Linked DNA regions of Arabidopsis thaliana. The protein of the gene in region 2 interacts with the protein of the main gene of each other region in a pairwise test. Each region holds a gene or a part of one and is shown on either strand. Other genes may lie near its edges.

The links.
Region 1: the proteins of HDG2 (region 2) and SGR5 interact in a two-hybrid assay, tested with the Arabidopsis thaliana proteins (one large-scale study listed by BioGRID).
Region 3: the proteins of HDG2 (region 2) and SHN3 interact in a two-hybrid assay, tested with the Arabidopsis thaliana proteins (one large-scale study listed by BioGRID).
Region 4: the proteins of HDG2 (region 2) and CZF1 interact in a two-hybrid assay, tested with the Arabidopsis thaliana proteins (one large-scale study listed by BioGRID).

Annotation. Positions count from the first base shown.
Region 1 is NC_003071.7:430,252-435,592, forward strand, and holds SGR5 (C2H2-like zinc finger protein), read left to right. Parts: upstream 1-2,023; 5' UTR 2,024-2,400; coding exon 2,401-2,560; intron 2,561-2,595; exon of another isoform or gene 2,596-2,760; intron 2,761-2,873; coding exon 2,874-3,260; coding exon of another isoform or gene 3,261-3,276; intron 3,277-3,872; coding exon 3,873-4,666; 3' UTR 4,667-4,826; downstream 4,827-5,341. UniProt on the Arabidopsis thaliana protein: Transcription factor involved in inflorescence stems gravitropism, probably by regulating starch accumulation in amyloplasts of graviperceptive cells. Required for stem circumnutation movements. Regulates lateral organ morphogenesis and gravitropic responses.
Region 2 is NC_003070.9:1,512,866-1,520,865, reverse strand, and holds HDG2 (homeodomain GLABROUS 2), read left to right. Parts: upstream 1-1,965; 5' UTR 1,966-2,296; intron 2,297-2,639; 5' UTR 2,640-2,685; exon of another isoform or gene 2,686-3,808; 5' UTR 3,809-3,841; coding exon 3,842-4,083; intron 4,084-4,161; coding exon 4,162-4,279; intron 4,280-4,856; coding exon 4,857-5,045; intron 5,046-5,414; coding exon 5,415-5,828; intron 5,829-5,902; coding exon 5,903-6,004; intron 6,005-6,075; coding exon 6,076-6,276; intron 6,277-6,303; exon of another isoform or gene 6,304-6,341; coding exon 6,342-6,516; exon of another isoform or gene 6,517-6,600; coding exon 6,601-6,872; exon of another isoform or gene 6,873-6,945; coding exon 6,946-7,041; coding exon of another isoform or gene 7,042-7,062; exon of another isoform or gene 7,063-7,121; coding exon 7,122-7,478; 3' UTR 7,479-7,492; exon of another isoform or gene 7,493-7,566; intron 7,567-7,572; 3' UTR 7,573-7,965; downstream 7,966-8,000. UniProt on the Arabidopsis thaliana protein: Probable transcription factor. Involved, together with PDF2, in the regulation of flower organs development by promoting the expression of APETALA 3 (AP3) in the epidermis and internal cell layers of developing flowers.
Region 3 is NC_003076.8:8,818,470-8,822,576, forward strand, and holds SHN3 (Integrase-type DNA-binding superfamily protein), read left to right. Parts: upstream 1-1,988; 5' UTR 1,989-2,167; coding exon 2,168-2,247; intron 2,248-2,782; coding exon 2,783-3,272; 3' UTR 3,273-3,593; downstream 3,594-4,107.
Region 4 is NC_003071.7:16,770,373-16,775,247, forward strand, and holds CZF1 (zinc finger (CCCH-type) family protein), read left to right. Parts: upstream 1-1,624; 5' UTR 1,625-1,881; intron 1,882-2,156; 5' UTR 2,157-2,164; coding exon 2,165-3,958; 3' UTR 3,959-4,362; downstream 4,363-4,875. UniProt on the Arabidopsis thaliana protein: Involved in salt stress response. May positively modulate plant tolerance to salt stress.

The DNA.
Region 1 (5,341 bases), on a different chromosome or scaffold from region 2:
GCTCAATATTTTTATACATTAAACTTAGATTTCAACTTTTATGTATAACTTTTAACCTTGGATCAACCACTAGGCCATTGTCGATTTATTTTTGACTATTAAAAATCAGACTATTGTATTTCATTTAACATGTTTTTGTTTCTTTTTGAATTTTTGCATTCATTTAAGATGTTGTGGTCTCTCAAGTCCATATATAACGATTAGAAACTACAAATTTATAATTTTGTAGCTCCGAAATAAATATCATGCATTATGTATCAGCTAGAAAAGATCTAATCAGTGGTAATAATCGATAAGCAAAGGGTTAAGTAAGAGATGGGAGAGTAATCTCATCTTAGGAAATGATTACAAACACGATCTCATTTCTTTCCTTTATACAAAGCTGTCACCGTAGTAACTCGATCACATCTTCTCGTCTAATTTGTTCTGTTTTTCCTTTCGGTCCATTTAGAACCAATTTTTGACAACTGACAAAAAACATTATGAGGTATCTTTTGTTTCTTTTATCTGCAAATTAATTTATTATTCGGCAATAACAAAAATAAAAACAACTAGTAGCGAATAGCGATCAAGCTAAGGAAGGAATACATATGGCATTTACAATTGAAACAGAGAAAATGTGTTAAAGTAACAAAACTTATGATTGAGAAAATTTAAACCATAATTGAAACAGAGAAAATGTGTTAAAGTAACAAAACTTATGATTGAGAAAATTTAAACCATAATAATGATTAATTTTGGTAGTCTACATATGAGTTCCATCAAAAAAAAAAAAATGTTTTCATATAAGATTCATTTCATTCTTGATCCAGTAACATTCTTAGATCTGTTAATGAACCTTCTTAAGGAATGACTGAGAAGAAAGGCAATAGCCTAAAAGGAATCGACAGTGGAGAGTGGAGGGAAAAAGAGGTCACGTGAGTAAGACATAAGGTCACGTGCGCGAGGGATCGAATATGAATTTTACTAAAATAGGGTTTTATAAAAACATACTAATACTACTTTCACATTTACTCTTGGTTTGAATTATTTTTATACGCATGTATAATTTGATATATTTGTCTTTTTTCTTCCCCTAACTATGTATGGGCACTAGTACATCCATTATATAAGCCAAATAGAAAGAAAAAATAATAGTTTGTCTGCATTATTGTAAACTTACAGAATTTGGTATTTAATGCAATAATGCATTTTTATCCTTGGATTATTCACAAGAACCATATACCTTTTTTTTTCTCTCCTTGTTTCCAAGTGTAATTCGAAAAGAATCTTAACATGTATGTGGACCAACGTTGGAAACATGATGACATAACATTCATATATAGTTAACAATGACAATTTTTCTTAAATTGTCTATATATTATTGGATTGCTTTAACAATAATGAAACGCAAGATGTATTAGTGATGTATAATCACACTATTTATAGGACTTGAGAGTGACAGTCAAAAAGTTAATTAGAAGTAATGAAGTATCTTAACCTTATTATTTAATTGCTTCTTACATCATCTAAGAGTTAGCACCGTATCGATATTCATAAATTCTCTCCTAATTTGCAGATACAATACAACTATTGCTATTTTAAGCCTCTAACCTGCATAATATTTTGATGAAAGGCAAGCCTTACATGTGGACGTATGATCTCATATATTTTTTTTTTTCATTTGTTAGAAGAAACTCATGTAGATAATCTCAAACATAAAATAAAATGTTTCAAAAAAAAAAAAAAAAATAGTTTGTGAAGGTTCAAGAAAATCAGACAAATTCATCAATCAGACAAGATATGGGTCCAAGCCAAAAAATTCATATATCCAACATGCTCAAAGAAACAAAGTCTAAAAAATAAATACAAAATAACAAAAAGAAAAATCTAAAATCTACATCTAAATCTAAATAAATACACCACCTTCTCTCTCTCTCTCTCTAGCTACACGAGTGTATGTATACATTTTACGCAATGATGGCATAGTGCAATGAGCTTTATAAGTAGAAGCAATATAGACATCAAAGACCCCTTATTTGCTCTCAACTCTCAAGTGTATGAGAGAGAAATAGGTTTTTGAAGAAGAGTCAAAATATATACCCAAAGAGAGAGCTAGAGAGAGAGAGACTCAAGAAAATTAAAAAGCTTTCATCATATTAACATAAGAGAAACTTTGAAGAGCCTAAGAAAAAGTTTTGAAAAGCCTTTGTTGCAGAAAGCTTAAAAGAACTTTTTCTCTCCCCCTATATCTCTCTTTATCACCCTTCCTCTTCTTTGTAAAGCTGAATCTCCCACTATCTCTTCTTCTTTCATTTTTTTTTTTTTTTGGTCTTTGGGCCTTGTTCTTTCATCAAATCAATCTCTAGAATCCAAATACAATAAAGTCAAAAAGAAAGATCAAGAAAAGTAGAGTAATTGATGAGAACAGATCAAGTGATGTTGTCCAACAAGAACACAAACACATGTTGTGTGGTTTCTTCTTCTTCTTCTGATCCTTTCCTCTCCTCTTCAGAAAATGGGGTCACCACCACAAACACATCCACTCAGAAGAGGAAAAGAAGACCTGCAGGTACCCCAGGTAATAATAAATCCCCACTACAGAAAATTTATTTTTCAAAATCTTTTTTTCTTGTTTTTATTTTCTTATGAAAATTTTCAACTCATGGGTACTATTGTTTTTTGTTTTTTTTTTCTCTTAAACCCCATTAGAAATACAGGTTTATTATAGGTTTAGTTTTAAAATTTCTCTTTTTCTTATTGCCAGTTTCAAAGTTATAGGTACAATTAATGGGTTTTCATTGTTTTTAATTCTTAAACCTCATTTAAAATCTCAACTTTATTAATCAACTAAGACATGTGTTTTGATGGGTTTTGCCTTATCTCCTTTTCAGATCCAGATGCAGAAGTTGTGTCTTTATCACCAAGAACTCTTCTTGAATCAGACAGATACATATGTGAGATCTGTAACCAAGGGTTTCAAAGAGACCAGAATCTCCAGATGCATAGAAGACGTCACAAAGTTCCATGGAAGCTTCTTAAAAGAGACAACAACATAGAGGTGAAGAAACGAGTCTATGTTTGCCCTGAACCCACTTGCCTTCACCATAATCCTTGTCATGCTCTGGGAGATCTTGTCGGCATCAAAAAACATTTCAGAAGAAAACATAGTAACCATAAGCAATGGGTTTGTGAGAGATGCTCTAAAGGTTATGCTGTTCAATCTGATTACAAAGCTCATCTCAAAACTTGTGGTACTAGAGGACATTCTTGTGACTGTGGTCGTGTCTTCTCCAGGTATAATTTCTTGTTCCTCTCTATCATTTGATTTTTTTTTGACCCATTTTATAAATTAATTATTGGTATTATTAATTCTGAAAAGATATGCAAACTTTTGGAAGGATTTGTTAAGTATTTCTAAAATATACAAGTAATTTGACTCTGTTTGTTTTGTATATTTAGGAGATCATATAGAAAGACAAATATAGAAAATTCTTCTAGGGACCAAAGACTAAGATTGATAGTTATAGTACTATTTGATTTGACTATCCTTCATGATTTTTACTAATTCTGTGTATTGATGTGTATGCATCAGAGTTTTTTAATATATCTCTTGACTATTTGTTTGGTTTTTGTGACATAAAAAGAAAGTTAAGCACTTAGATTAATGACATTGACCCCAATCTCTAAAGAAATATTTTATGTATTTAGGTTATTATTGGACCTTTTTTCGACACAAAGGTTATAATTGGACCTAAACTCATATTAATAATATATATTTTTGAGTTCAAAGGTATTTAATAAACGACGTTTAAACAGAAAAACTTAATATAAAATTATTAACTTTGTCACATTTTCATAATCCTACGTCATATAAATTATGTAATTGATAGGTTTCTTTTCTTCTTTTAGGGTGGAGAGTTTTATTGAACATCAAGATAATTGTTCCGCACGGAGAGTTCACCGTGAACCGCCTCGACCACCACAAACCGCGGTAACAGTCCCGGCATGCTCTTCTAGAACCGCCTCAACCGTCAGCACTCCGTCTAGTGAAACCAATTACGGCGGTACAGTTGCGGTTACGACTCCTCAACCTCTAGAAGGCCGTCCAATTCATCAGAGAATCTCATCTTCAATTCTCACCAACTCATCAAACAATCTCAACCTCGAACTCCAACTTCTTCCATTATCGTCGAATCAAAACCCTAATCAAGAAAACCAACAACAAAAAGTTAAAGAACCATCTCATCATCATAATCATAATCATGATACCACAAACTTAAACCTCTCCATTGCACCATCATCATCATATCAACATTACAACAACTTTGATCGTATAAAAGAGATTATGGCGAGCGAGCAAATTATGAAGATAGCGATGAAGGAGAAAGCTTACGCTGAGGAAGCTAAAAGAGAAGCCAAGAGGCAACGAGAGATAGCGGAAAACGAGTTTGCAAATGCCAAAAAGATTAGGCAAAAAGCACAAGCTGAACTCGAGAGAGCTAAGTTTTTAAAGGAACAATCTATGAAGAAGATAAGTTCAACGATCATGCAGGTCACTTGTCAAACATGTAAAGGACAGTTTCAAGCAGTTGCGGTTCCGGCGGCTACGGCTGATGAGACGTCTCTTGTCGTGAGTTACATGTCGTCAGCGAATACTGACGGAGAGTTGGAAAATGGTTTTTAAGTAAAACCGAAGAAAACATAAGATATTTAAATTGAGGTTAACTTTATTATACTTTTGTGTATTAATTACCGGTTGTGTTAATTTTTTCAACTACCATATATTATGTAATGGTTGTTATATAGTTGTTTCTTTGGTCCAACAATATTAGACTATGTTTTGTAACTATGTTACTGTCATTTCCGCCACATTACACTTTAAATTGTTGAAAAATGATTTTATCCTAGGTTTCATATAGAACCTTAAAATTAAATTTTATCAACAAAAAAAAAACCTTGAAATTAACTATTTAAATTTTTATATAGATATTTTTTCGTCTTGAACGTCTACAGTAGTTTAGAAGGAGTTAAGAGTGGAGATCCGTACATGCGTGTTTTGATCTTTGGCCTTAGATTCGCTTAGAACTTTCAATGGATATACAATTTTTTTAATAAAACATGTGATATGCGGATTTGAATTCGGTTAAATATACATTTGCTTATCCTTGATTTGTCTACATTATTTTTGGTAAGCTTGAGGTGATATATTTGAAAACAAATCTCACGTTTTAAGGATCAAAACAGTCCCTGCATGATAGAGATTATCGACATCTAATGTATACCAGTATATTTAGTAAGTTTGAAAGAGGGTAAGTAGTTGCTTGGCACGAGTTGATATATGGAGTGATGGGAAATGTAC
Region 2 (8,000 bases):
TTTTGCGCTTTGAAAAGCTATTGACTTTGGAGAAGATGTAGTTTGGGGAATTTTTTTATTAGTCCTTAGCTCTCAAAAGTTAAAAACTATAATAAACTGTTATAGTTTGTGGAATCCACGTTCCTGCATTCTCAATGTAAACTATCCAAGTTGCTCAATTCAGTGATTGGATATTACAATATACGGCTAGTTTCTTGTGAAACAAGTCGTCCTATAGACTAATGCAAAACAAAACAAAAAAATCAATCATTTTCCTTAACTAACTTTCCACTCTCGGAGAATGAGACTTTCGGCCTTGCCATTCTCGTTGGGGATAAAATATATAATGGGCCAAAAGTTTACTTCCGTCTTATGGCCCATATACGAAGCCCAGAAACAAAAAAAAACTACGATCTTGAATTTATTACAAAAGCATCCATTTTTTCAACAGAAGAATTCCATTTTGAATCTCAGATTTGATCATATTGGCAGAAAAAACACTAATTGAAATAAACTAAAAGTTTGACAAAAAAAAGAAATAAACTAAAAATAAATATTTGAGACTTACGAGGATGAAACAAACTTAAAATGTGAATAGTATTGTAGCAATTCTTTTTTGAAATAATTAACTTTTAGTGATGTAGCAGGAAAAAAGAAAAAACTAAAAAAAAAAAAAAAAAAAAAAGAAAAAACTAAAATGTTAGGCGTTGAATTACTAGTTTTTTTTAGTAGGAGAGTACGAAGAAGGAAGAGGAGGTTAAAGTGCAAGAGAGGCATGAGAGCAGTAAATGGCCTAAAGCCCATGCAGCCTCTGTGTACACATTTAATGCGTCGAAACTATTCGCCACCCTATCGCATACGTACGTACGTATAACTCCATCTATATATCTGTACCTACATATATACAGTAAAAATCAGAAATAAGTTGGGTTATTGTTTTTTTATATATAGTTATTTTAAAGAATCTAGGTAAAGTATAAACTTACTGAAAAGAAAAACTTGAGTGTTAAAGCTATAGCTATAAGGACTTTAAAAAAAAAAACAAAGCTTAAGAACTAGGTAATTAAATACGCAGTATATTTCTCTATATATTCGCGTGATAAATTAAGATGAATGCATGGCTTTTACAAATTATCACCTTTTTAATGGGTGATCCGTATTTTAAATAGCTTAATTGCACGTTATAGTTATAAATGCTTGGGCCACAAAGTAATTAATATTTCTAGGCATGTAAAATGAAGTCTTACTGTGAAAAAAGTGATATTTCATTGACTTCCTTAAATTGAAAAAACAATTGTTTCGTAAACAAAACTCAAAATTAAGGTGATGATTTTTAGATTTTCTTCTTTTAAATGAAATAAAATAAATACATCACTCAATCAACTTCTGTCTGACTAACAATAATACAACCTAAACTTCTATAATATTTAAGAAAATGCCATGTGGAAGAAGAATCATGAAATTTTCCTTCTTTACAATTAAATTTATAACAAAGATATGAAATAATAATAAAATAAAATAGTTAAAAATATAATAGTCATATTTTTTGAAAGTAAAAATTAAATTTATATCTCATAAAGATAAATATTAACTATAACAAGTCATTGAATTTTAGTTAAAAAACTATATAATTTTTTTCCATATTATAAATAATCTAAGAGTATTAAAATTTCAGAAAATTACTTTTAAAATTGTATCCTTGACAAATGGGGACTATTGTCTAACTTTTTCTGTAAATGGAGAACTGTATTAAAGCAAATTTCAATATAGTTAAATCTTTTTTTAATATAGTTAATTTTGTTAAGTGGTGATTTATTGCATATGCATAAGTTATGAATAATGCTAATGATTTTTTAAAAATAACTACATATCTAATAGATAAATGTAAGTCTCATAGGCTCATAGACCGTTAGCCGTCATTCCTCACCACATTATAATATTTTAAATAAATAAAAAATAAAATTATTTTAGGTTGACATTGTATATAAGATGAAAAACAACACATAATTTTGTAACATAAATAAAATAAATTGTAACATATCTCTCTCTCTCTATATATATATAAGCGTGTAGGATAATTAAGTGTCCCTCTCGCACCATTTAATTTCATTGCACCCTCTCAATTCTCTCTGTCATTACTCTCTCATCTCTCTTCCTCCAAGATTTGCACCTACCTTTCAAACCTTTTGCTCGCCAACAAAACCGCGCTTCACAAAACCATCAGCGGTTTTCCGAGAAACAAATCTCAGACCAGACACCGCTCTACTCTTCTCTCTCTCTCCCTCTAGGGTTTCGTCGCTTCTTCCTATATCCCAGTGTATGTCTCGAAAACCTCATCATTTCTGCTGTTTTCTTTATTTTATCCATTAATTCATGTACACAAATTTATTTGTTTAAAGTATCATTGGATCCATTACACTTCAGTTTTCTTAGCATCTTTATAAAACTCTCACTTTCATGATGTTTTTTTTTTATAATTTAATATATCCTGTATGTTGAATTTTCAGTTAGTCATCTATATTTTGTCTTAAATTTTGCCTTCTTTAGCATTAATTAATTGATTTCTTGCCTCTAATATCTTTCATTCCTCTCCTAATTTGCTTTCTGACTTTCTGATTTATTGTATTCTTCTTTAAATAATCTTATCAATTTCTGCATAGTCAGAGATGAAACCTTCAAGAAAACAATAAAGAGGAAAGATTAAAGGTTAGTATTCCCTTGCCTACCAAAAAAAACAGAAAGGTTTGTATTCTCTTCGTATATCCTTATTTTCATTATACGTTTGGTTTTATATATAAACACGTGTATATACTTTATAGTAGTAGTATACATTTACATATTAATGTGTGTAATAAAAACGTTTAAATACGATGATGATGATAAGAAATAGCTGGAAAAAATTAATACATCACCCAGGCCTTATGTCACGTTGGTTGTAAGTTGTATAATAACTATATGTTGGTCCGTCGCACAGGTGCACAGATATAATACTATTTTTTTCATTTCAATTTTTTTTTCTTTCTTAATCGCCAAATAGTAGTTTACACTTTTTCCTGAAGAGTTTTTATTTTTTGAAAATCTACTAATGATTATATTTAATTAAATTTTGTTTTGTTCTCACGAAAATATTGTTTTTTTAATAAACAGGATAGAGTTGGGAATTTATTTGTACCTACTTTTTCCCATTTTATTTGCTTTGAACAAATGAGTCCAACATTTCTCTTTTCGTCTTCTCTTTCCTATCCCATCTAAATCAAAACTGATCAAAATACCTCGAAATTTTAAATTAAATCACCATCCATCAAAGCTATTATAGTGTAGAAATTTTAAAGTTTTTTCTTTGGACAACAATTGATTTCCATCTACACTACATATGATATGACTCTTGAATCAATCATAGTTTTTATTTCAGTCTGCTGATTAGTTTTTTTCTTTTCTTTTAAAAGGGTAAAAAATCGGTAGTTTCGAATAATTTTGAGTATGTGAAAATTCATTATTTTTGGGTTGGTTATTCAATAACAAATTAATTTGTGATTGTGATGTCTTTTTTATGCAAGGCTCTTTTTTCTTGCTTTCAATTAGTGGGTCCTTTGTTTCCTACAATCATCTCCAATTCTTCTGTTTGCTTATATCATTTTGTATGATCTTCAAGAAGAAAGATAAACGACTCCGAAGAAAGATTTAAGTTATTGTTGTTCATACAAAAAGAAGGTTGTAAAGTTGTTGACGTGGACAAAAGTATTGCCATATTTTTCCAGCCTCGAAGAAATTTCCCTTCTTCTTCAAACCCTAAATTTTGACAAAACTCTCTACTTTTTTTTGCTTCTAGGGTTTGCTTTCAGTTTCCGGAGTATAAGAAAAGATGTTCGAGCCAAATATGCTGCTTGCGGCTATGAACAACGCAGACAGCAATAACCACAACTACAACCATGAAGACAACAATAATGAAGGATTTCTTCGGGACGATGAATTCGACAGTCCGAATACTAAATCGGGAAGTGAGAATCAAGAAGGAGGATCAGGAAACGACCAAGATCCTCTTCATCCTAACAAGAAGAAACGATATCATCGACACACCCAACTTCAGATCCAGGAGATGGAAGCGTATGTGTTTAACTTACTCACTTACTTCAATTTTCTTGTGTGTTTTTTGACAATTCTTTTGTTTTGGTTGTTAAATAGGTTCTTCAAAGAGTGTCCTCACCCAGATGACAAGCAAAGGAAACAGCTAAGCCGTGAATTGAATTTGGAACCTCTTCAGGTCAAATTCTGGTTCCAAAACAAACGTACCCAAATGAAGGTATACTTTTTATATTATGAACATATATACATTAGTTAATGGATCTATATATATTAGAGAAAATATATATACTTGTTAATTAAATTGTTATTTCATTCATATTAAGTCTTGTATATATACATTGAAGGGCTTATCTTTATACTTAAGAACATTTTGGGTGGCTGGTGTTTTCTTTCAGAATGAATTCATTGACTTTTGGCAGATTTTAGATCTAGTTGAGACACTTTGACTTAAAATTTCTTACTTATTTTTTTTTTCAATTGAAAAGTTGTTCCTTTGGCAGAACTATATATTTGGCGGATCAAGCTATAGAAAATTGTTTGGTTGTAACAACATTGCCTATTTATTATCTTAGTTAGAGCCATATATAATCTATAGATTGAAACGTTTTGGACACATATGCTTACGTTATGCAAATACGGTGAAACACATAACGTGTACACGAGTGTTTTATTTGAAACATACACTTTTCCTCTTTTTAAGTAAAATCCTTTGTTCCTTCGTTTTACCCAAATTAGAAATAAATCACTTGTATAAAACTTTAGAGATAACCGGAATATAAGTTTTATTTGCGCAGAATCATCACGAGCGGCATGAGAACTCACATCTTCGGGCGGAGAACGAAAAGCTTCGAAACGACAACCTAAGATATCGAGAGGCTCTTGCAAATGCTTCGTGTCCTAATTGTGGTGGTCCAACAGCTATCGGAGAAATGTCATTCGACGAACACCAACTCCGTCTCGAAAATGCTCGATTAAGGGAAGAGGTATGAGAATCAACTATTTTAAATGTTCAAATAATGTTAAGAGTTTTACACTTAAATGTTGTCAAGAAGATAAAATAAAAAATTAGAATTTGTTTTTATACCACTAATGTTATATCGCTTTCACAATAATCATTTCTTTCTTCATAAAATAAAAACTTTTATAGATTTGTATTGAAATTAGAGAATTTAAACATTTTTTTTTCATTGAAGAATAGAAAAAATTATGATATTAAATTGAGATACTAAAACGATATTTTTGGAACTGTAAGGAGTAGTAGTACATAATAACAACATTACTCAACGTTTCTTCTTGTGACCAAACTTTGAAAACCACAAGGATCAATAATCTTTCTTATTTGTCTGTTTTAGATCGACCGTATATCCGCAATCGCAGCTAAATACGTAGGCAAGCCAGTCTCAAACTATCCACTTATGTCTCCTCCTCCTCTTCCTCCACGTCCACTAGAACTCGCCATGGGAAATATTGGAGGAGAAGCTTATGGAAACAATCCAAACGATCTCCTTAAGTCCATCACTGCACCAACAGAATCTGACAAACCTGTCATCATCGACTTATCCGTGGCTGCAATGGAAGAGCTCATGAGGATGGTTCAAGTAGACGAGCCTCTGTGGAAGAGTTTGGTTTTAGACGAAGAAGAATATGCAAGGACCTTTCCTAGAGGGATCGGACCTAGACCGGCTGGATATAGATCAGAAGCTTCGCGAGAAAGCGCGGTTGTGATCATGAATCATGTTAACATCGTTGAGATTCTCATGGATGTGGTAATTAACATTTTCATTTTACTTAAAAGCAATCTTCTCTGTTTAGTTTCAACAACATTGATATGATGTTGCAGAATCAATGGTCGACGATTTTCGCGGGGATGGTTTCTAGAGCAATGACATTAGCGGTTTTATCGACAGGAGTTGCAGGAAACTATAATGGAGCTCTTCAAGTGGTAATTTTTTTTGCTTTTATTCTGTAAAAATTAAATTTCAAACTGAAATAACCACTCTGTTTTGCTTGCAGATGAGTGCAGAGTTTCAAGTTCCATCTCCATTAGTCCCAACACGTGAAACCTATTTCGCACGTTACTGTAAACAACAAGGAGATGGTTCGTGGGCGGTTGTCGATATTTCGTTGGATAGTCTCCAACCAAATCCCCCGGCTAGATGCAGGCGGCGAGCTTCAGGATGTTTGATTCAAGAATTGCCAAATGGATATTCTAAGGTAATATAATAAAAACATTAGGTTATACAAAATGTTTACTTAAGTAGAGAGAATTAATGTAACAGGTGACTTGGGTGGAGCATGTGGAAGTTGATGACAGAGGAGTTCATAACTTATACAAACACATGGTTAGTACTGGTCATGCCTTTGGTGCTAAACGCTGGGTAGCCATTCTTGACCGCCAATGCGAGCGGTTAGCTAGTGTCATGGCTACAAACATTTCCTCTGGAGAAGTTGGCGGTATAACCTACTGTTTGTTTCATAAACAGTTTTCATAATCAGAGTCAGAGTCAGAATCACAGTTCTATATTAATGAATATGCAGTGATAACCAACCAAGAAGGGAGGAGGAGTATGCTGAAATTGGCAGAGCGGATGGTTATAAGCTTTTGTGCAGGAGTGAGTGCTTCAACCGCTCACACGTGGACTACATTGTCCGGTACAGGAGCTGAAGATGTTAGAGTGATGACTAGGAAGAGTGTGGATGATCCAGGAAGGCCTCCTGGTATTGTTCTTAGTGCAGCCACTTCTTTTTGGATCCCTGTTCCTCCAAAGCGAGTCTTTGACTTCCTCAGAGACGAGAATTCAAGAAATGAGGTAACTATTTTAGTTACTACGCTCTCTTGTTCTGTTTTGGACAGAGTTTTGATGTTTTTGTGAGATTTTGCAGTGGGATATTCTGTCTAATGGAGGAGTTGTGCAAGAAATGGCACATATTGCTAACGGGAGGGATACCGGAAACTGTGTTTCTCTTCTTCGGGTAAATGTGAGTTACACCGGGTTTTGAACTATTGTTATAATCATCTGATCCTAGCTAAGAGTTTTCAATCTTTCTTTATGTCACAGAGTGCAAACTCTAGCCAGAGCAATATGCTGATCCTACAAGAGAGCTGCACTGATCCTACAGCTTCCTTTGTGATCTATGCTCCAGTCGATATTGTAGCTATGAACATAGTGCTTAATGGAGGTGATCCAGACTATGTGGCTCTGCTTCCATCAGGTTTTGCTATTCTTCCTGATGGTAATGCCAATAGTGGAGCCCCTGGAGGAGATGGAGGGTCGCTCTTGACTGTTGCTTTTCAGATTCTGGTTGACTCAGTTCCTACGGCTAAGCTGTCTCTTGGCTCTGTTGCAACTGTCAACAATCTAATAGCTTGCACTGTTGAGAGAATCAAAGCTTCAATGTCTTGTGAGACTGCTTGAAAACCATCCATTAGGTACTACTTTCACTAAATATATTCTTCTCGCTTTTACGCCATTATATGATGTAATCATATTTTTCTTCTTCTTTCTGCAGGAAATAACAAAATGGTGATGATGGAAAAAAGAGAGAGATTTCAGTTTGAGAAAAGCGGAGGAGTCAAGATCGAACCTCACAAGAGAATACCATTGAGTGTTTGTTAGTGTTAAGTTTTGGTCTGCTTATTTGATGAAACTAAGCAGTGAAAAACTTTTTACTTGAAAGTGAATATGTAGATGGTTTTACGAGGTTCGGGAATTTGACTTCCCCTGTCACATACTGAATTAGACAAAAACAAAAACTAGGTTAGAAAGAATGCTTTCGGATTTCTTTTTGTGTTACAGTTACTGTTTTTCTTTCCTTCTTGTGGTTAGATGGACCATCATCAGGAATTTGGAGTTTGTCTTTCTTTTGTATAAATATCTTATACAAGTATTTTGGTACTTTTGTAAGCTTATGTGAGTTTGTCTAGGGGAAAGCTCACA
Region 3 (4,107 bases), on a different chromosome or scaffold from region 2:
TTTGTGTTTTTTTAGAGTTTTAGAGATTGTGTGTTAAATTTAGTAACAAACTTACTTTCATGCTATTTATGAGAATTGCATATTTCTAGACCAATTTTTTATTATTATAATTCATATAATTATTCTTGAATTATTTATGTGCTATTTGTGAGAATTACCAATTTCTAGACCAATATTTTATTATTATTCATATAATTAAACGTTTATTGAATTATTTTAGCTCTAAAAAATATAATGAAATTTAGAATTGTTATAGAAACTTTAAATGACTCAAAACTGATCTTTGTTTTTTTGTCAACCACACATTAATTAAAAACTGATCTTTGTTAAACATCTAAATATTGAAAAACAAAAGGATTACCACCGCACCTATCCTGCATCGTCTTGTACCATTTGCATTCATCAGAGCCATTATATATTCATGTGGCTGTCACATCCTTATATACATTTCAACTTATAAATTTAATTTTGTACGTTTAGCAGATGTTGGTGAATTCATTTATTCAAGCTTAAGGTTTAACTCGTTCTTGTCTCCTTTAGGTTCATAACATTTAATGGACAACAACTACTCCAAATATCCGTGGACTTTACCACGCGACGCACCGACAATTCTCTAGCCTTTTCATTAATTGATCAGTAAAAACACTTCTATAATTTTAATTATTCTCAGAAATTTTAACCGGTAGTAACATAAACGTAGATGATCGAAAAAGATGAAATCGAGGTCTCTGTTTTGTGTCGAATTAATAGATCTATAAGAAATCAAACAATGAAAATTAAATAGATGAATGAAATATGTTTTGACGACGTTTTCACGTCACTGTTTAAGTTATCTGTTAGTAAAATTTGATAGCATTTAATTTGAATTGCTATGTAACTCGGAATAAATTCGACGGCAAGAGGTGTGGGATGTGATCAGTCTTCTAATTAAGTGTAATCTTTACAAAAAATCAGTATGAGTTAATACAGGTTTATAAATAGAAAGACATCTACAGTAAAACCTCTATAAATTAATAATGTTGGGACTGCAAAATTTTATTAATTTAGAAAGATTTTAATTTATCGATAAATTAATATTTATTAATTTATAGAGAGATTTTCGTAATTTAGTAACTTTTCAAAAATTTCTATAAAATTTTTTTCATTATAGAAAATATCTTTCAAAAATCAATTACAAGTAAATAATAATATCATGTTTAGAAAACAACACCAAAAGTTTTTGATAAAGTAAAATACTATAACTAAATTTAAATAAGAATAAATACAAATTTTAAGCAAAAAAATATTAGAATTATATTTCAAAATAATTTCTTACATATAATGTATATATAGTTGATATATTTATAAAATTATTAATTTATGATATTGATGGGACCATATATTTACATAAGATTTTTTAAAAAGTTATTATCTTATTAATTTATCGATTTGTGTCACTTTTTACACTGATCCCAACTCGGGACTGGAAGAATTTATTAATTTATAGAGGTTATTAATTTATCGAGTATTAATTTATAGAGGTTTAACTGTATATGAATAATTGAATACACATGGGACATCATTATAGTTACCTTAGTACGATTTTATGCATTTGGTTACCAAAATCCACTAGGCTTCGTAATTGGTTGTGGGTCAGTGTCCATTCGATAGTTTGCATTAGCGATAAACACTTAAAACAGTAAAACGTGATCTATTTTTAAACAATAACATTTCTTCTTATCAAATATTCACATAATTAATGAAGAAAAGAGACGAATTGATAGGCAATAAGAAATATGATCACTTGGTACCATTGTATGCATGGTATGAACTGACATCAAGTATTTGTACGTTGTAGGGTAATTATTAACATTGTAGAATGACAAGTATGATCAAATGGAAAAGGATTAGTTATATGTAGCAAAACTAGTATTTGTACTTGGACTATCTTGTCATGTAGTTTTCCTAACGCTATATATAATCCAATAACCCCATGACACGGAAGAGATAGGGGACATACAATAAATATCAGTAGAGAGGACGTGGGAAAAGCAGAGAGTTAAGTGAGTAGTTGGAGATAGAAAGATCAGAGACGAGGAATCTCTCTCCCACTCTCACTTTCTCTCCTATTCTTAGTTCGTGTCAGAAACACACAGAGAAATTAAGAACCCTAATTTAAAACAGAAGAATGGTACATTCGAAGAAGTTCCGAGGTGTCCGCCAGCGTCAGTGGGGTTCTTGGGTTTCTGAGATTCGTCATCCTCTCTTGTCAGTTCTCTCTCCCTCTCTATCTATTAATAGAGACAACAGTATAAATCTGTTTATGCAAGTCCATGCTATGAGTTAAGTTTACATTTTTGGTGTACGTGTAGGGCAGTTTTCTGATCATTGATTATATTTTCGAAGATTCATGCAAAGCTCTTATAATATCATGCATTTTTGTTTAAGTCGTTTTCCTTATTTTTTTCCAATTAAAAAACCCACGTTTATTAACATATACATATGTTGAGTATTTGTACTTTTTGTGTTGTATTTTGAAATTTTGAGTGTACATAAATTTAAATGCTTTGTCATATAATTGATACTGATGTATTTTCTATGTCTTAGTTGGATTATAGAAAATCATATAGCAAAGAATTGGGAAGGAACGAACACTACTCACTATAAACTTTCCTCAAAAAGAAAACGACCCAATTTATTATCAGTAACAATTTATAACAAATTTGTTGTGTGTTTGTTTTAGTACTTTGAAGTTTGAATAAAATGTGTGTTTTTTGCTTACGTAACTTATGTGAGCTATCAGGAAGAGAAGAGTGTGGCTAGGAACATTCGACACGGCGGAAACAGCGGCTAGAGCCTACGACCAAGCCGCGGTTCTAATGAACGGCCAGAGCGCGAAGACTAACTTCCCCGTCATCAAATCGAACGGTTCAAATTCCTTGGAGATTAACTCTGCGTTAAGGTCTCCCAAATCATTATCGGAACTATTGAACGCTAAGCTAAGGAAGAACTGTAAAGACCAGACACCGTATCTGACGTGTCTCCGCCTCGACAACGACAGCTCACACATCGGCGTCTGGCAGAAACGCGCCGGGTCAAAAACGAGTCCAAACTGGGTCAAGCTTGTTGAACTAGGTGACAAAGTTAACGCACGTCCCGGTGGTGATATTGAGACTAATAAGATGAAGGTACGAAACGAAGACGTTCAGGAAGATGATCAAATGGCGATGCAGATGATCGAGGAGTTGCTTAACTGGACCTGTCCTGGATCTGGATCCATTGCACAGGTCTAAAGGAGAATCATTGAATTATATGATCAAGATAATAATATAGTTGAGGGTTAATAATAATCGAGGGTAAGTAATTTACGTGTAGCTAATAATTAATATAATTTTCGAACATATATATGAATATATGATAGCTCTAGAAATGAGTACGTATATATACGTAAACATTTTTCCTCAAATATAGTATATGTGTTGTGATTCTAAGACTTGTAAACTGATATGGCCTACTGTTTAAAGAGTAGTTGATATTTTCTATTGAATTTGTGGACATGATATAATTACAGGAGATTAGTATAGTAGTCATTATGATACTTATGAAGGTACAAGTGGTAGGATGATAATTAATTAGTTTAATAAAGAATAATGAACATTAAATGTGAAAGAGATTTGCCACTTTTGTTAAACACATCTGCGAATCAGATTCTTGTGATTCGAATGTTAGTCCTACCTAGATTAAGAAAGGTTTTACTATTTTAACATGTTTACCTGGTTTGGGTAAAGTTCATGTCCTGTCCTATTCCGTCTTGTCCCGATCATGATAAACTTTATGAGCAATTCTTATAGAATTTTATTTTAAAATACTGATTTTTGATATTCAATTTTATTTGATTATTTTTTACTTAGGCATGTGATAAAGGCGATTTTGACTTAGTTTCACATACAAGTTTAAGTAAATTATCTTACATAACAAAAGAGATTCAAGTAAATAAATCTAAGCGGGCTAAAATTAATCAACTAGCTCAAGTTGAAACATTTTATCAAGTGAACCTCTTCCAAGTCTAGATAGCATCTCAAGTTTATATATGATATCATATCATGGACACACTTTGGATTTTGGATA
Region 4 (4,875 bases), on a different chromosome or scaffold from region 2:
ATATTTTTGCAAAAGTTAAAGGTGTTGCATTAATTTTTTGATAGCAAACAATTAAGGAAATGGGGGAAAAAGTGTAAGCGGGCGGCCAAGTGAAGACATTCTCTGTCGCCCACCCAAACACCAAAGAAGAGAAGGCGTGCCTCACTTTCCCTCTTTCTCCACGCACTTCTCCTTGCCCGTGTTTCTCACTCGCTTTACCCTAATCACTCCATTACAACTATACCTACAAGACCATTAAGATAAGCTTATCAATAAGAACACTGAGATAAAGTTGATCTCTATTTACGAATTGTTTACTACCAATAGATTTTGATTCGTACCAATCTTTTAAAGTATGTATGTATTGTTTGAATAGTAGTTCTACCGAACCAAAAATATTTTAATTGATCATGTAAAATATATTTAAGATTGTTGTGTGTTAATTATAGTGATCTTTAGAAAAAAGAGTAGCCAACGTGATAATGAAAGCGCGTGTTAAGAGTATTGAAACACTCACACGCTTGTGGAGGTTACCTGCTAAGTCGGTCGATTTGATCGATGGTGGGTCTTTTACACATCCCCAACGTCATTTACCATTTATTCAACCTCATATATTATGTTCTTGATGATGAAAAAGAACATAATATTTTTTTTTTTTTTTTTTTTTAATTTTTTTTTGATGATGATGAAAAAAAAAAATATTATGTTCTTTTTTAATTTCTTTTTAATATTTTTGACAGTAATTTTATTTTAATCTTATTTTGTTACAAATAGTTTTTAATACCTTAGGACCTGTTGGAACTTGGAAAAAAACAATATTTTTTAATATCTCAGGATCTTTGCCCATACATGTTTTGGGCACCCATGCGTTTATATGAAAAACAGCATGCAGATGTAAAATATAAACAACTGTAGATTTGGTCAGATGTTAAAATTTAAATTATGTCTTTTGAAATGTGACCTATAATTGTCCAGATAGATATACATAACTATTTAGTAATTGTAAGTCTATTTCCTGTAATGTATTCAGCTAAATGCATGTAGATAATCTGATATCACATACATCTATAGCCATATAGAGAATGCATAGTAACATCAACAACATATAAATTTTGGGCTATTTTCTAATGAGGGTTTTTGAGTATAAATGGATCTCCTAAAACGAGTTTACCGGATGGGTAAGGTAGTAGTTCCCTTTGAGTTTTCTTTCTGCTTTGTATAATTAAAACAAAGTAATTGATTAGGAACTTAGTAGGTCCTAAAGAGAACCAACAATGGTTTCGGTTATAAATAAACCAAATGGGTACATTATCCTTATATCTAGAAACTTTAACCAAAAACAAGATGTTATCTAGAAACAATAAATACATCCGGAATGAGACTTTTTCTTATGTAAGTCGATACAATGGGGGCATTGTTTTATTTCCCTTCAAATGAACTTTGCTTTTTGATCATTTTAAAAAGCCATATTGAAAAAATCAATGAGATAGGAAGATAGATATTATAATATTCTTTTTATAAAAAAGACAAAAAAAATACACTAAAACAATTGAATAAGAGTCAGCAAAACAACGACGTCCTTACCTTTTTTAAAAGTTTCCCAGTTTTGACTTTTGACCTAAACCATTTCCATGTAGAAAGAGAGCAAAAAACAAAACAAAACAAAGATAAGTAAAAAATAAAAATGATATAAAGAAGGAAGAAGAAGACCGAGAAAGGTAGACGAAAGAAAGAGCGTACCTTCCTCTTTCCTTCTTCGTAAAAACCAAGTTCCTTTTAAAAGGAGCCTCTCCTTTCTCATTTGATCCTTCTTCAAAAACCCCAACCACTTCTTCTCCCCAAAAACCTCCAAAGTTTCAATCTTTACTTCTCTCTTTTTCTCCAAGTTATCTTCTTTTCTAGGTATGTCTTGATTCTTTCTCTCTCTGTTTTTTCCTATTTCATTCAGGATTCTGGGTTTGGTTAAATCTTTAATCTTTATGGTTTTAATGGCTTGATTTTGACGAAACGGTCGTGTAATTATTCATTACTTTGCTTAAATTGGGGATTGATTTTGTGTATAAAGAAGAATCTTGAAAATGAAAAATTGAAACTTTGAATCGAAAGAACTCAATTTGCGTTGCTCTTTCTCATTCTTTGTTGCTTTCTCCTAAAAGTTTTTCACTTTTGAATCACAGGAAGAGATATGTGCGGTGCAAAGAGCAACCTTTGCTCATCTAAAACCCTAACAGAAGTCGAATTCATGAGGCAGAAATCAGAAGACGGAGCTTCCGCCACGTGTCTCCTCGAATTCGCCGCCTGTGATGATCTTTCATCGTTTAAGAGAGAGATCGAAGAGAATCCATCGGTGGAGATTGATGAGTCAGGGTTTTGGTATTGCAGACGGGTCGGGTCTAAGAAGATGGGTTTTGAAGAAAGAACACCACTTATGGTTGCTGCTATGTATGGAAGCATGGAAGTGTTGAATTACATAATTGCCACAGGAAGATCCGATGTGAACAGAGTTTGCAGTGACGAGAAAGTCACTGCTCTTCACTGTGCAGTTTCTGGCTGTTCTGTTTCTATCGTTGAGATCATCAAGATCTTGCTTGATGCTTCTGCTTCACCTAATTGTGTTGACGCTAATGGGAACAAACCGGTTGATTTGTTGGCTAAAGATTCTCGGTTTGTTCCTAACCAGAGTAGAAAGGCGGTTGAGGTTTTACTGACCGGGATTCATGGTTCGGTTATGGAAGAAGAGGAGGAGGAACTGAAGAGTGTTGTGACTAAGTATCCAGCTGATGCATCACTTCCTGATATTAACGAAGGTGTTTATGGAACTGATGATTTTAGGATGTTTAGCTTTAAGGTTAAGCCATGTTCTAGGGCTTATTCACATGATTGGACTGAATGTCCTTTTGTTCATCCTGGTGAGAATGCAAGGAGGAGAGATCCTAGGAAGTATCCTTACACTTGTGTGCCTTGTCCCGAGTTTCGTAAAGGGTCTTGTCCTAAAGGAGATTCGTGTGAGTACGCGCACGGTGTTTTCGAGTCTTGGCTTCACCCGGCGCAGTATAGGACACGGCTTTGCAAAGATGAGACTGGTTGTGCTAGGAGAGTTTGTTTCTTTGCTCATAGACGGGATGAGTTAAGACCGGTTAATGCTTCTACTGGTTCTGCAATGGTTTCACCAAGGTCGTCTAATCAGTCTCCTGAGATGTCTGTTATGTCTCCTTTGACGCTGGGATCATCGCCAATGAACTCTCCTATGGCTAATGGTGTTCCTTTGTCTCCAAGAAATGGTGGTTTATGGCAGAACAGAGTTAATAGCCTTACACCACCACCGTTGCAGCTTAATGGTAGCAGATTGAAGTCGACTTTGAGTGCTAGAGATATGGATATGGAGATGGAACTTAGGTTTCGCGGTTTGGATAACCGGAGACTTGGTGATCTCAAGCCATCCAACCTCGAAGAGACTTTCGGATCATATGACTCAGCTTCTGTGATGCAACTTCAATCACCAAGCAGGCATTCTCAGATGAACCACTATCCGTCTTCACCTGTGAGGCAGCCTCCTCCTCATGGATTCGAATCTTCAGCAGCCATGGCAGCTGCAGTGATGAATGCAAGATCCTCAGCGTTTGCGAAACGCAGCTTGAGTTTCAAACCAGCTCCAGTAGCTTCTAATGTCTCCGATTGGGGATCACCAAATGGGAAGCTTGAGTGGGGAATGCAAAGAGATGAGCTGAACAAGTTGAGGAGAAGTGCCTCCTTCGGCATTCATGGAAACAACAACAACAGTGTGTCACGCCCTGCTAGAGACTACAGTGACGAGCCAGATGTGTCGTGGGTGAACTCACTGGTGAAAGAGAATGCACCAGAGAGAGTGAATGAGAGGGTTGGGAATACGGTGAATGGTGCAGCGAGTAGAGACAAGTTTAAGCTGCCGTCGTGGGCAGAGCAAATGTATATAGACCATGAGCAGCAGATTGTGGCATAAGAAGCAGAAAGAAAGATGTGGGATTTATATTGCTTTTGTCTTCTGGGCCTCTCTACACAGAATCTAACAAATCTGGCAATAATTCTTTGATTTGTGTTTGACCCATAGTTTGGTTACTAGTATATGTTTTTTTATGTTCTTTTTTTCTTTGTCATTCTCTTGTCCTTCGTGACACTATGTAATGATTAAAAGCAAATAATTGATGCATGAGTTCAAATGTTCTTTGAAGGATCCATCTTATTAGCTTTGTAATTGTTGTGATATCTTAATCTTATTGGTTACGTATTTCAAGTGCTTTAGAAAAAATGGGCCTAAGAGATTTTGGGGAGCTTTTTTGGCTTGTTATTTTCCTCACATATACAACTTGCAGCTTATTATTTATTGAAAATCTTTTCTTATCTAGATTCAAAAAGATTTCCACAAATTTTAATTAACGACCCCTGATTACAAAGAAACCTACCCAAAGTCAAATTTTGTCCATAATTTCTATCGTGTAGGACACTAAAAAGTAAAAACTCATACCTAATTGGTTTCTAGTAGAAACGGTCAGTGCACTATCTTTCTTTCAGGTTATCGAAGGAAAAAAGATCAGTAGAGTAGCATCGTTAATAGTAGAGTTAAGAAAAGCATGTAACATGTGGTCTACTTTTTATTTCACAGAAAAATACCATACCATGTGATAATGTCGCATAAAATCTTTACTTTTCCGGTGTTATCGATGTGTGTTAATGCTAAATACCCGAAACAATTTCAAGACTCAATTTTGAACTATCGAATAGAATTCTTCTAAAATGGATGAGGAAAAAGTCGCTGGTTTAAGTCGTGCGACCCTCAAAATAAAGTTAGGAATATAATCACAAGCTGCATACTTTCATTAATCAATTTAAAAAGAAACGACTAACTTTATTCTTTCTTTG